Macaca mulatta: one gene and its partners. The main gene of each other region encodes a partner of the protein of the gene in region 3 in a complex. Links are inferred from orthologs where the notes say so. Each region holds a gene or a part of one and is shown on either strand. Other genes may lie near its edges.

Region 1 (4,276 bases), on a different chromosome or scaffold from region 3:
ATCTATTCAATGACCACCAAAATCAAGATAACAGAACGTTTCCATCATCTTTAGGTGTAAGAAAGTAAAATAGTACAGAGGCAAGTAAAGTAAAAATGTGAGCCTTTCTCCAACTCCATTATAGCTTCCCGCAAAAACAACTCAACATTTCTGTGTGTGTTCTATGAGACTAGTCATTCACAATACATATACAGTTTTTGGTGCCGAAACTCTTGAATAATGTTCTCAATCTTGACTGTACTTCAGAATTACCTGGGAAGCTTAAAAATTCCTAATGCACAAGAAGCACTCCAGGCCAATTAAATCAGAACATAGGGGTGGAACCCAGGCTTCTATTTTATTTATTAATATTTTAGAGATGAGATTTCTCTCTGCTATCCAGGTTGGAGTGATCATAGCTCACTGCAGCCTCAAACTCCTGGGCTCCAGTAATCTTGCCTCAGCCTCCCCAGCTCAAATGATCCTCCCACCTCAGCCTCCCAAGTAGCTAGAACCACAGGCGTGCCAGCACACCTGGCTAATTATTTTGCTTATTTTCTGTAGAGGGTCTCACTAAGTTGCACAGGTTGGTCTTGAACTCCTGGGCTCAAGCCATCCTCCTGCCTCGGCCTCCCAAGGAGCTGGGACTATAGGCATGAGCCACCATGCGTGGCCCTTTTTTGTGTTTTTTATTTTATTTTAAGCTTCCCAGAGAGAGAATGTTGAGAACTAATCTTTCACCAAAGTATTTTTAGCTCTTTGTTCTCTGCTAGGTTAACACCTACTCGGTCTTCAAATCTCACCTCAAAGTTCACTTCCCCAGGAAACGTTTTTTCTGAATCCCTCTCCAATGGTGGACTCTCCTTGCCGTATTACATCAGCTTGTGTTTTTAGTCAAGTCTATCATTATTATTATTTTCTTTGCAGAGACGGTGGCTACGTTGCCCAGGTCTTGAATTCCTGGGCTCAAGCTATCCTCCCGCCTCAGCCTCCCAAAGTGCTGGGATTTCAGGCGTGAGCCACTGCGCTAGCTTAGTCATCTCTATTTCCCCCGCTAGACTGAGCTACCCAGGATCTAGCAGAAGCCTGGCATATGACAACACATAAATGAGAGAATGTACACATGAATAAAGAGCGTGTATGGAGAAAGTTGCCGCATTATGTAGCGCAAATTAAGGCAGACATCAGCCTGCCCAAGACGCCTCTTTGGCTCTGGCGCGAAACATCCTCCCGGGCCGGCAAGGCTGAGTCGCTACGCTCCATCGCACTAATCAGCCGGGCGCTGGGGCCGGGAAGTCGGGGCCAAGCCATCATCTTTCGAGGAGGCCGGCGCTGTGCGCCCTCCAGTCGAGCGGGGGCGCTGTGGAAGAGCGGCAGCTTCCGGTCGGCTTTTCTCTTCCTTCGGCTGCCGGCGCCAGCACGTCCTGTTTTCGTTGGCCGCGCTGGGATGGCCGCCGCCGGTGTAGCAGTGGCTAGTGCTTAGCGCGGATCTTTGCCGGGCGCTGAGGGCAGCGCAGTCTCCTTGTTTGTCCCGTTCGCCTGCGCGTGGTACTCAAGGGCACCAGCATTCCCGCGGTCGGCAGCATGGGTCGGGAGTCACGGTGAGGCAGAGCACCGAGCGGGCTAGCGGGCGAACGGCTTCTTGGGGTCGTGAGAAGAGGCGGGAGTTGAGGTGGCCGCCCGGCCAGGCCTGGCGCGGCCCCACGTGCGGCCAACGCTGCCCCGCGGGCATTGGAAGGGCTGGGGGACCTCGGCTGAGGGAATGGTTGTGCTTGGGCCAGCGACGGCTTCTCCTGGACTACTATCAGAAGGTTCGAAACCCTGGAGCGGGAACAACCCTCCAGGACGTTAGTGATTGGGCACCACATCCCGCCACTTCAAGGGAGCCTGCCCTGATTACTTCAGTTAGAAGTAATCCCAGTTGGATTGCTTATTACTTCGCATTTCCAACGTTTCCTCGACTCCCATCATTCTATATTTTAGTTCTTTGTGCGCTTATGGTCTTTTCCCAAGTTACATGAAAGTAGCTTGTGGGCAGACATTCTTACCGCATCGACAGCACTGTACACGACTAGGCTTTTACTGGGCTACGATAAATACTTGTTGCGTGGGCATTTACTTCGCAAATAGATTTCGTATTTCTTTGTTACCTGCTTTTCTGTCCTTTGAAGTTATGGACTGTGAGCTCTTATTAGAACTATGAGATCTCATCACAACTTTAGATTGTTGATAGATTGTTAGGAACCTTGAGAATTTTATGTTAAAAATGACTATTTGCTATGTATTTAGCAATGAGTGAGAGATATTTTATGTGTAGGAACAATGAAGGCTTTTGTTTTTAATGCTAACAGTTCTTTGTTGAGGTAAAATTAACAGTCAGGGAAATGGACAAAACGTAAGGGTAAAACTTGATGAAATTTAGCAAGTATGTAAACCGTGTAATCACCTGGATGAAGATAAAGAATATTTCTTTAACTACAGAAAATTCCTGTAACGGTGTTTTAAATCTCTTGAAGGCTGCCCAGCCCAGAAATCTGGAAGTGATATTTATTTGACTCGTTTTTTCTCTCTCACTACCCACAGCCTGTTAGTTTCTACATCCTTTCCCCATTCTGGCTGTCCCTGACTTAATTGAGGCCCTAATTGTTTATTGTCCAGACTACTACACCTGTTTTAAATTGATTATTCTCTGAATTGATTGTCTTCCTTTGTTGCTCTCCTAATTGTTAGATCCCTCACACTACAGCCAGAGTGCCACTTCTGAAGTAGAGATAAGAACATGTCATGCCCCTGACTTAGTCTCCATTGGTTCCTACTGCTTCCAAGATGAACTCTGTGACAGCCTTCAAGGCCCTTCACAAGAAGATGCATTCTAGCCCTTCAGCCTTCTCCTTTACCTCTCTGCTGTGCATGGCCTGTGCTCTAGGTTTGTTCAGGGAATCATGAAAGGCCCAGAGGTGGGAAGGCTCAGGGTGTTAGAGAAATAGCTAAAAAGCCCAATTTTTCTACAGATATAGGTTTCATGAAGGGTTTTTATCTTTTTTGAGAAGTAGGAGGTGGGTCCTGAATAGGACTTGGGTCCAGAAGGTGGGTGGATTGTAGATTTTGTTTTTTTGTTTTTATTTTTTGAGACGGAGTCTCGCTCTGTCGCCCAGGCCGGAGTGCAGTGGCCAGATCTCAGCTCACTGCAAGCTCCGCCTCCCGGGTTCACGCCATTCTCCTGCCTCAGCCTCCCAAGTAGCTGGGACTACAGGCGCCCGCCACCTCGCCCGGCTAGTTTTTTGTACTTTTCAGTAGAGACGGGGTTTCACCGTATTAACCAGGATGGTCTCGATCTCCTGACCTCGTGATTCGCCCGTCTCGGCCTCCCAAAGTGCTGGGATTACAGGCTTGAGCCACCGCGCCCGGCCGATTGTAGATTTTGAAGATAGCAATTTGTTTGTGAACCTTTGAAGATTTTGAGTAAAAAGGGTGTAACAGAATCAGAATTCTCCTTAGCAGCAATGAGTAAGATTTAATGGAAAAGGGAATAGAAACAGAAAGACCAAGTCTTTAAGAATCTCCTAGTTAGATAAGTCTGATATAGAATAGTGATAGTTGGAACTCTGTGGAGGTGATATAATGTGAAGGGAATTACAGAGGTGAAATTGGTATTACTTGGTGTTTTTTTTTGTTTTTGAGACAGGGACTTGCTCTGTCGCCCAGGCTGGAGTGCATTGAAACAATCTTGGCTCACTGCAACCTATGTTTCCTAGGTTCAAGAGATCCTCCTACCTCAGCCTCCCGAGTAGCTGGAACTACAAGCGTGTGCCACCACACTGCTAATTTTTGTATTTTTTTGTAGAGACTGGGTTTCACCATGTTGCCCAGGCTGGTCTCAACTCCTGAGCTCAAGCTCTCTGCCCACCTCGGCCTCCCAAAGTGCTGGGATTATAGGCATGAGCCGCTGTGCTCAGCCATTTGGTGTTTTATTTATTGTATCGAATGAGAGCAAGAGAAAAATATTTACAACTAATGTTTTGAGCCTAGTGACCAGAAGTTGGTATGATTAATGGTTTGGGGAGGGAAGCGTAACAAGTTTGGGTTTCTACAAGTTGAACTTGAGGTGCTTGAAAGATAATTAGGTGCACTCATCTCCTAGTGATCTTATTTATATAGCTTTAAATAAATAGCCTTTGTACACTGATGGCTGTCCAGTTTATATTTCTAGAGAAACCTCTTCCTTGAACTCCAGGCTAATATTTCAACTACATACTATGTATCTCCACTTGGATACCTAATATTCTGATCCACCTTC
Region 2 (4,335 bases), on a different chromosome or scaffold from region 3:
CCTCTCAGCTCCTACAATCTCTGGCCTCCAGGATGAGCTATCCCATCTTCAGGAGCTATTACGGAAATGGACACCAAGAATATCTCCTGAAGTTCACTCCAAGAAAAGAGATCCACATACCATTCTCAATCCCACTGAAATTGTGGGCATTCTCAAAGGCAGGGCAGAGGGGGATCTGGGGTAGAGGACGGTTCTGTCTAATCCTTTTTTTTTTTTTTTTTTTGTTTCTGGACTTGCAGCCTCAGCTTTCACACTCCAGCCCTTAAGTTCACTAAGAAGGTCTGAGTTTCTGCTGCAGATGGTGGTGTTAACTGCTCCAACTCTTGTCCTGTCTTGCTTAGTTCCTACGGATATTTTTGTTTCTTGTCATTTGAAGGATTAAGAAACAAAAACAATCCAGAAATTGATCGGTTTTTTTAGACCAGTTCCATCCCTTCTGGATAACCAGATGTTAAATCGTGAGATCAGAGATGCTGTTCATCAGTCCCAACAAGATGGCCTACAGATCGCATTCTCACCTCGCCTTGCTGCTGCTTTAATTCCAACTTCTATTTCTTCCCTTATAGTTTTCTATGGGAATGAGGCGGATACAGGAAACACCCTGTCTCCTCTGTATTTTTGTAGCGGAATTTTCTATTTAAGGGGCTCATTAAAGCATAGTATTTATACACATTACTGGCATTGTTTCTTGTGTTTGAATAAAGGATTCTCCTAGGTAGGAAAGTGGTGGGTAAAAGGTGGGTATGATCCAAGAGAGGAAGGCATCTACTGTATTATTGCTAAGGAAATAGGGGAACTGGATTTGGTGAGACTCTGCAGAATTCAAGTGCAGTTTGGGGAAAGGATTCTGTGTGTGTCTCCCATTTAGAGGCAGATGGGGCCAGATTGTTCTAGAGATCCAGACTGAAGTCTCTGAGCTCCGATCCTATCCACCCCTCACCTGTGGTCACACACCACCTTGGAGCAGCCCTCACCCTCCCCATGCAATTACGACGAGATGAGCGCAGACGTCACTCCAGCTCAGACATTTCGCAGTCTCCTCCCCGAGGGAAAACCAAATACCTCCAGCCCAAATCAGGGCTGTTGAGGCCAAATCTGCAAGAAGGTTGCAGGCGAGATGGAGGGTTCCCTCTGCGCCTGAAAGCAGCCAAGTCCTCGGGTTGGGGGGACTCTTCAGCACATCCTTCTCTGGACAACAAAACATCATCACTGGCTACAAAATACATGAAAACTGAAGTTTTTGTTCTTTTAGCTTTCGAATTTACATTTTTGGGAGCAGTGTGATTCTTTCAAGTCTAGCAGTGCATTAAGACGGTCTGAGCGTTTCCGTTCCGCCCTCCTCGCTAAGACCACTAGCAGCAGCACCTCTGCGCGGGTGCCGAGGACTCCACCGCCCAACCCGAGTTAAGTCTTGGAGGCTCCTAAAATGGCTGCAGCCGCTTCCAGGCCCCTCCTCTTCCGCGGCTCCGCCCAGCGCTACGTCCTCCTTCGCCCCGGAAGTGGAAGTCGTGCTGAGGTCAGAAGGCGGAACCGCTGCTGGGAGACGGCGGGAGCTCTTTCGCCATGGCTGCCGGGCCGATCTCCGAGCGGAACCAGGGTAACTGGAGGGGGAAAGTCTGGAATGGGCTCAGCGTGGCTAGGAGGCCCCTACTACAGCCAGAAGTGCCTCTGCAGGGGTGGGAGACTGGACTCATCCATTCCCCAGAGGGCGCGAGACCGGCCCCGTGCCTCCTGGGGGCGGGGTGGCCAGGTGCTGGCTGAGGCCTGTGGGTGTGATACTTACGTCCAATCCCCTGCTGAGTTCTCACTCAAAAAAACAAAAAAATCCACTCAGAATACTAAATTAGACTTCAGAGGATTCCTGAAGTCCTGGAGAGAGAAGTTTAAGGGTTTAACTTTTTTTTTTTGCTCCTGTCCCCTACCCGCGTCCCCAGTTCCCCCGGTTGGGTTCCATCTTCATGTTTCCATCACCTCCTTCTTTCATGTTATACTCTCACCCTTGCTCTAACTTTCTGCTCCCTCCCTTCAGATGCCACTGTGTACGTGGGGGGCCTGGATGAGAAGGTTAGTGAACCACTGCTGTGGGAACTGTTTCTCCAGGCTGGACCAGTAGTCAACACCCACATGCCAAAGGATAGAGTCACTGGCCAGCACCAAGGTGAGTACATGACAAGGGGCAATTTGCTTCCGGAGGGTCCCGGCAGTATTCACAACTGTTTTGGAATAACATGAGCAACCTAAAGTATTTCTTTCTTTTAAGCCTCTGTTCAGTTTATTTCTGGAACCATTCTTAAGTGAGATTGTTTCTTTCTTGTTCTTTGTGATTAGAGGGTAGATGAGTTTTACCCCATTTTCAATCTCTTATGTTGTTAACCTCCTCTTCTCCACTTCTCCAGGCTATGGCTTTGTGGAATTCTTGAGTGAGGAAGATGCTGACTATGCCATTAAGATCATGAACATGATCAAACTCTATGGGAAGCCAATACGGGTGAACAAAGCATCAGCCCACAACAAAAACCTGGATGTAGGGGCCAACATTTTCATTGGGAACCTGGACCCTGAGATTGATGAGAAGTTGCTTTATGATACTTTCAGCGCTTTTGGGGTCATCTTACAAACCCCCAAGATTATGCGGGACCCTGACACAGGCAACTCCAAAGGTTATGCCTTTATTAATTTTGCTTCATTTGATGCTTCGGATGCAGCAATTGAAGCCATGAATGGGCAGTACCTCTGTAACCGCCCTATCACCGTATCTTATGCCTTCAAGAAGGACTCCAAGGGTGAGCGCCATGGCTCAGCAGCCGAACGACTTCTGGCAGCTCAGAACCCGCTCTCCCAGGCTGACCGCCCTCATCAGCTGTTTGCAGATGCACCTCCTCCACCCTCTGCCCCCAATCCTGTGGTATCATCATTGGGGTCTGGGCTTCCTCCACCAGGTAAAGCTTTTGGTTAAAATTTGTTTGTCTTAAGGTTGGGGGAGAGAGTCAGGAGGAAGAAAAAAAGAGCCTGAAAGGGGGATGGGACATGGAGTCAGTGAGTGATGGGAAGAGGACTGAGGGGTGATGGTAGTGGTGGAGAAGAAAGTTGTTGGGTTTCTTTAGGAGGGTGAAGTTGGTTGACTTTTCTAACATTGCTTTTGATTTTAGAGCACTGGGAGGAGGGGGAAAGAGCTCACCCTGCCCAGAGAGGCCAGATCAGGACAGGCTCTTTAAAGACATTTTCTCCTCACTACCATTAACTTTTCCTTTTTCCATTTCCTCTATAGGCATGCCTCCTCCTGGCTCCTTCCCACCCCCAGTGCCACCTCCTGGAGCCCTCCCACCTGGGATACCCCCAGCCATGCCCCCACCACCTATGCCTCCTGGAGCTGCAGGACATGGCCCCCCATCGGCAGGAACCCCAGGGGCAGGACATCCTGGTCATGGACACTCACATCCTCACCCATTCCCACCAGGTGGGATGCCCCATCCAGGTAGGTGTGCTTTGTTGGGAGGGAAGAGCTTGGTAGAGCATCTCTGTTACCTCTCACCCTGCTGCCCTTTGTTCCTCAACAGTAACAGTTTCAGAGTTTCCTTTCCTTCAGACATTCTATTATAAAAACATACAAAATACTCTCTAACATCCACCTCCCTGTATCCATTTCTTAAGTTTTTCTGACAAGAAGACTATACTTGCTGGTTTTTATTTCTTTAACCTTTAGTTCCATTCTCTTCTCTGACTCCAGCTCAAAGTGGTGACCTAATTGCCAAATCTCAGGGACACTTCTCCTCCTTATCTAGTTTGACCTCTGATGTACTTGAAACTAGTCGTGTCCTCCTGTTTGAAATTCTCGTCTCTTTTTGCTTTTGCTTTTCTAGATCCTCCACCCCTCTGACTCCTTAATCTCAGCTACCATGATAGACTCTTGTCTACTTGTGCCTAGATTTTTGTGCTTGTTTCTCTTTTCTGCATATATCTATAGTTTTAATTGAGCATATACTGATGCCTCCTAGATCTGTATCTCTAGTCCATAGCTGTTGACATTCCGGATCCTTAATGCTTTAATGCTGCTGCTTAATAGATAGCGTCATTTTTCTGTCCCTCTCCTTCAAACCCATTCTTTCTCTAGCAGTCTTTTTTTTCAGGTGCTTAATTCATGAATCTGAGAGTGATGTTTGACTGCTCCCTATCACCCCACTCTTAATACCAAGTCTTATTTAATATCAGTGGCATCTCTCCCCATGGCCAGTGCCCTAGTTCAGTCTCTCATTCCCTCATTATTTAACACTTAATTTATTGTAGTAATCTCCTTCCACTTGGACTCCAGTTTTCCCTAACTTCGATCTACTTTCA
Region 3 (3,090 bases):
ATACTGTCCTGCTTCTCATTAGACAGGGATGTCAGCAGAAACATTTCCAAGGACATTGTGCTTGGTTCTTGCTAGGTAAGATTAAGGTAAAGAAGCAGCTGACTGCATGTGACTGGCTGGGATAAAAGGGAAGAAAGACTTCATACATAAAGTCTTTTACTTCAGAGTATCAGAGAGAACACTACTACTTACCTACTTTGTGAAATGTATGTGTTTTATTTTTAATCTTACCGTTCATTCCTTTTTTTTCTTTCTTGTCTTTCTAGAGGCACCCAGATGGTGTGGCCTCTGTGTCCTTTCGGGATCCAGAGGAAGCTGATTATTGTATTCAAACTCTGGATGGAAGATGGTTTGGTGGCCGTCAAATCACTGCCCAGGCATGGGATGGGACTACAGATTATCAGGTAAATTCTGCAGCTTGTCAGGGACACACACGTTGTTTCATTACCAACAAATACTGATCCTTCAGATCTAAATTTTGGGTTTGGTTTAACCTATTTAATGTAACAATGCTTCTTTTCTTTTTATTTATTTATATGTTTTAATTTTTTACTCTTCCTCTTTATTATTTACAGTGCTTCTTTTAAATAATATTTTGCATTCAGAAGATAAAGAACTATTTGAGTTTTTCAGTTTATAAGTCTGAAAGTTTGAGGCTTGTTCAGAATAGTGATAAGAAAAGAACACATTCAACCAAATGTTACTCTTCCTTTGTATGCTGTGAAGTATGGACAGAGCTCAAATATTAACTTTTTAAGAGATGAGACATTTCTGCAGTACTGTGATATTTGGCCTTTATTCAAGTGATCTTATTTAAGGTCAACTCTAGTAAATCAAGATGTAAAGTTTTGAAAACTGAAGACAGGGTATTGCTTTCCTAAGAAGAGATGCTTTATAAAATTAAGGTTGTTTCATCAATATTAGATATGTTCAGAAAAGTAACCTTTTGCCTAAAACTTATTTTAATGGCAGTCTCCATTTATCCACAGGTGGAGGAAACCTCAAGAGAAAGGGAGGAAAGGCTGAGAGGATGGGAGGCTTTCCTCAATGCTCCGGAGGCCAACAGAGGCCTTAGGCGTTCAGATTCTGTCTCTGCTTCCGAAAGGGCAGGGCCTTCTAGAGCAAGGCATTTTTCAGAGCACCCCAGCACATCTAAAATGAATGCTCAAGAAACTGCAACTGGAATGGCGTTTGAAGAACCTATAGATGAGAAGAAGTTTGAAAAGACAGAAGATGGGGGAGAATTTGAAGAAGGTGCTTTTGAAAACAATGCTAAAGAAAGTAGCCCCGAAAAAGAAGCCGAAGAAGGCGTCCCTGCAAAAGAATCTGAAGAGGGCTGCCCCAAAAGAGGGTTCGAAGGTGGCTGCCCCCAAAAAGAGTCTGAAGAAGGCAATCCCGTAAGAGGATCTGAAGAGGGTAGTCCTAAAAAAGAGTCTAAAAAGAAGGCACTCAAAAATGATTGTGAAGAGAATGGCCTCGCAAAGGAATCTGAAGATGACCCCAACAAGGAATCTGAAGAGGAGGCTGGCCCCACAAAAGAGTCCGAAGAAGATGACTCAGAGAAAGAGTCTGACGAAGACTGCTCTGAAAAACAGTCTGAAGATGGCTCCGAAAGAGAATTTGAAGAAAATGGTCTCGAGAAAGATTTGGACGAGGAAGGCTCTGAAAAAGAGCTTCATGAAAATGTTCTTGACAACGAGTTAGAGGAAAATGACTCCGAAAACTCTGAATTTGAAGATGACGGCTCTGAAAAAGTGTTAGATGAGGAAGGCTCTGAGAGAGAGTTTGACGAAGATTCAGATGAAAAGGAAGAAGAGGATGATACATATGAAAAAGTATTTGATGATGAGTCCGATGAGAAAGAGGATGAAGAATATGCAGATGAAAAGGGGCTTGAAGCTGCTGGTAAAAAGGAGGAAGAAGGTGATGCAGATGAAAAGCTGTTTGAAGAGTCAGATGAAAAGGAAGATGAAGATGCAGACGGAAAGGAAGTTGAAGATGCTGACGAAAAGTTGTTCGAAGATGATGATTCCAATGAGAAGTTGTTTGATGAGGAGGAAGATTCCAATGAGAAGTTGTTTGATGATTCTGATGAGAGGGGGACTTTGGGTGGTTTTGGGAGTGTTGAAGAAGGGCCCCTATCCACTGGCAGCAGCTTTATTCTCAGTAGCGATGATGATGATGATATTTAATCCCTTAAACTTGCTTTTTAGGGAGAGTCCTCCATCTACATTTGCCTGTGCTTCAGGGTAATTACTAGTAGTGTTACATGAACATGTGCATAGTGGTAGGATGCCATCAGATTAAAGCATTGAAGTTTTTCATTGTTACCTGTACCTAATGGTTTTAAATATATGTTAATTGATTGTTTAGTTAAAATGTCATAGTTACAATGCAAGTAAACTGGATACTTGTTCTTTTGTCAGATTTGTTAAATGCATGCAGAATAATATTTTTAAAAGCATTGATTGAAGTTTGTGATATTCATCAATAAAAAGTTGATAATACGCAGAAACTGAAAATTGGACTTGAGGTAAATTGCATTGTAAATTCTTGATACCGCTTTATTTATACTGACGGTTGGCTTTTCTGAGGACTTGAAGAATCCCTTTGTAGTCTCCTTGCTTCCCGCTGGTAGTAGCACATATGTCTCCATTTCCTCTCTATAAACCAGAACATGTTCCTAAACTCAGAAAACAACCCTCTGGATTTGCTTTTTCTGCCCAGCCCTTGCAAATTAACTCTTGTTTGTTTTCTACCCTCTTTCCATTAAAATTGACTCTCAGATGTGCAAAAGTGAATTTCCTGTGGTCTACAGCTCCCATTATTATTAAAAATCTAGAGAACCAGATTAGAATTCTGCCTTGTACTGTTAGCCTCCTTGGGCCCCTTTAGAAGTTAATTCAAGTTAGAGGACCTCTTCCCAGAAAAAAATGGGGAGGTTCATGGATGCCCTGAAGTTGAAGAACTTCATGCATGCTTCAGTTGTTCGTTTTTTTAGAATCTTAGTGCCTAGCACTGTGCAAAGTTGTGTAGTCCCAATAAAATTGTGGGTCTTTCTTGATTATGCTTTCCAAATTCAGTATTGAT

What was found.
Region 1: HTATSF1 (region 3) and DDX46 share a complex: the UniProt entries of both Homo sapiens proteins name them as parts of the 17S U2 SnRNP complex. The link is inferred for Macaca mulatta from reciprocal best matches to the Homo sapiens genes HTATSF1 and DDX46.
Region 2: HTATSF1 (region 3) and SF3B4 share a complex: the UniProt entries of both Homo sapiens proteins name them as parts of the 17S U2 SnRNP complex. The link is inferred for Macaca mulatta from reciprocal best matches to the Homo sapiens genes HTATSF1 and SF3B4.

What each region holds. Positions count from the first base shown.
Region 1 is NC_133411.1:143,673,110-143,677,385, forward strand, and holds the start of DDX46 (probable ATP-dependent RNA helicase DDX46), read left to right. Parts: upstream 1-1,452; 5' UTR 1,453-1,563; coding exon 1,564-1,580; intron 1,581-4,276. UniProt on the Homo sapiens protein: Component of the 17S U2 SnRNP complex of the spliceosome, a large ribonucleoprotein complex that removes introns from transcribed pre-mRNAs.
Region 2 is NC_133406.1:117,227,057-117,231,391, forward strand, and holds the start of SF3B4 (splicing factor 3B subunit 4), read left to right. Parts: upstream 1-1,511; 5' UTR 1,512-1,563; coding exon 1,564-1,597; intron 1,598-2,029; coding exon 2,030-2,158; intron 2,159-2,396; coding exon 2,397-2,939; intron 2,940-3,268; coding exon 3,269-3,475; intron 3,476-4,335. Other genes in the region: MTMR11 (myotubularin-related protein 11), read left to right, coding at 1-184. UniProt on the Homo sapiens protein: Component of the 17S U2 SnRNP complex of the spliceosome, a large ribonucleoprotein complex that removes introns from transcribed pre-mRNAs.
Region 3 is NC_133426.1:142,836,349-142,839,438, forward strand, and holds the end of HTATSF1 (17S U2 SnRNP complex component HTATSF1), read left to right. Parts: intron 1-266; coding exon 267-404; intron 405-989; coding exon 990-2,192; 3' UTR 2,193-2,522; downstream 2,523-3,090. UniProt on the Homo sapiens protein: Component of the 17S U2 SnRNP complex of the spliceosome, a large ribonucleoprotein complex that removes introns from transcribed pre-mRNAs.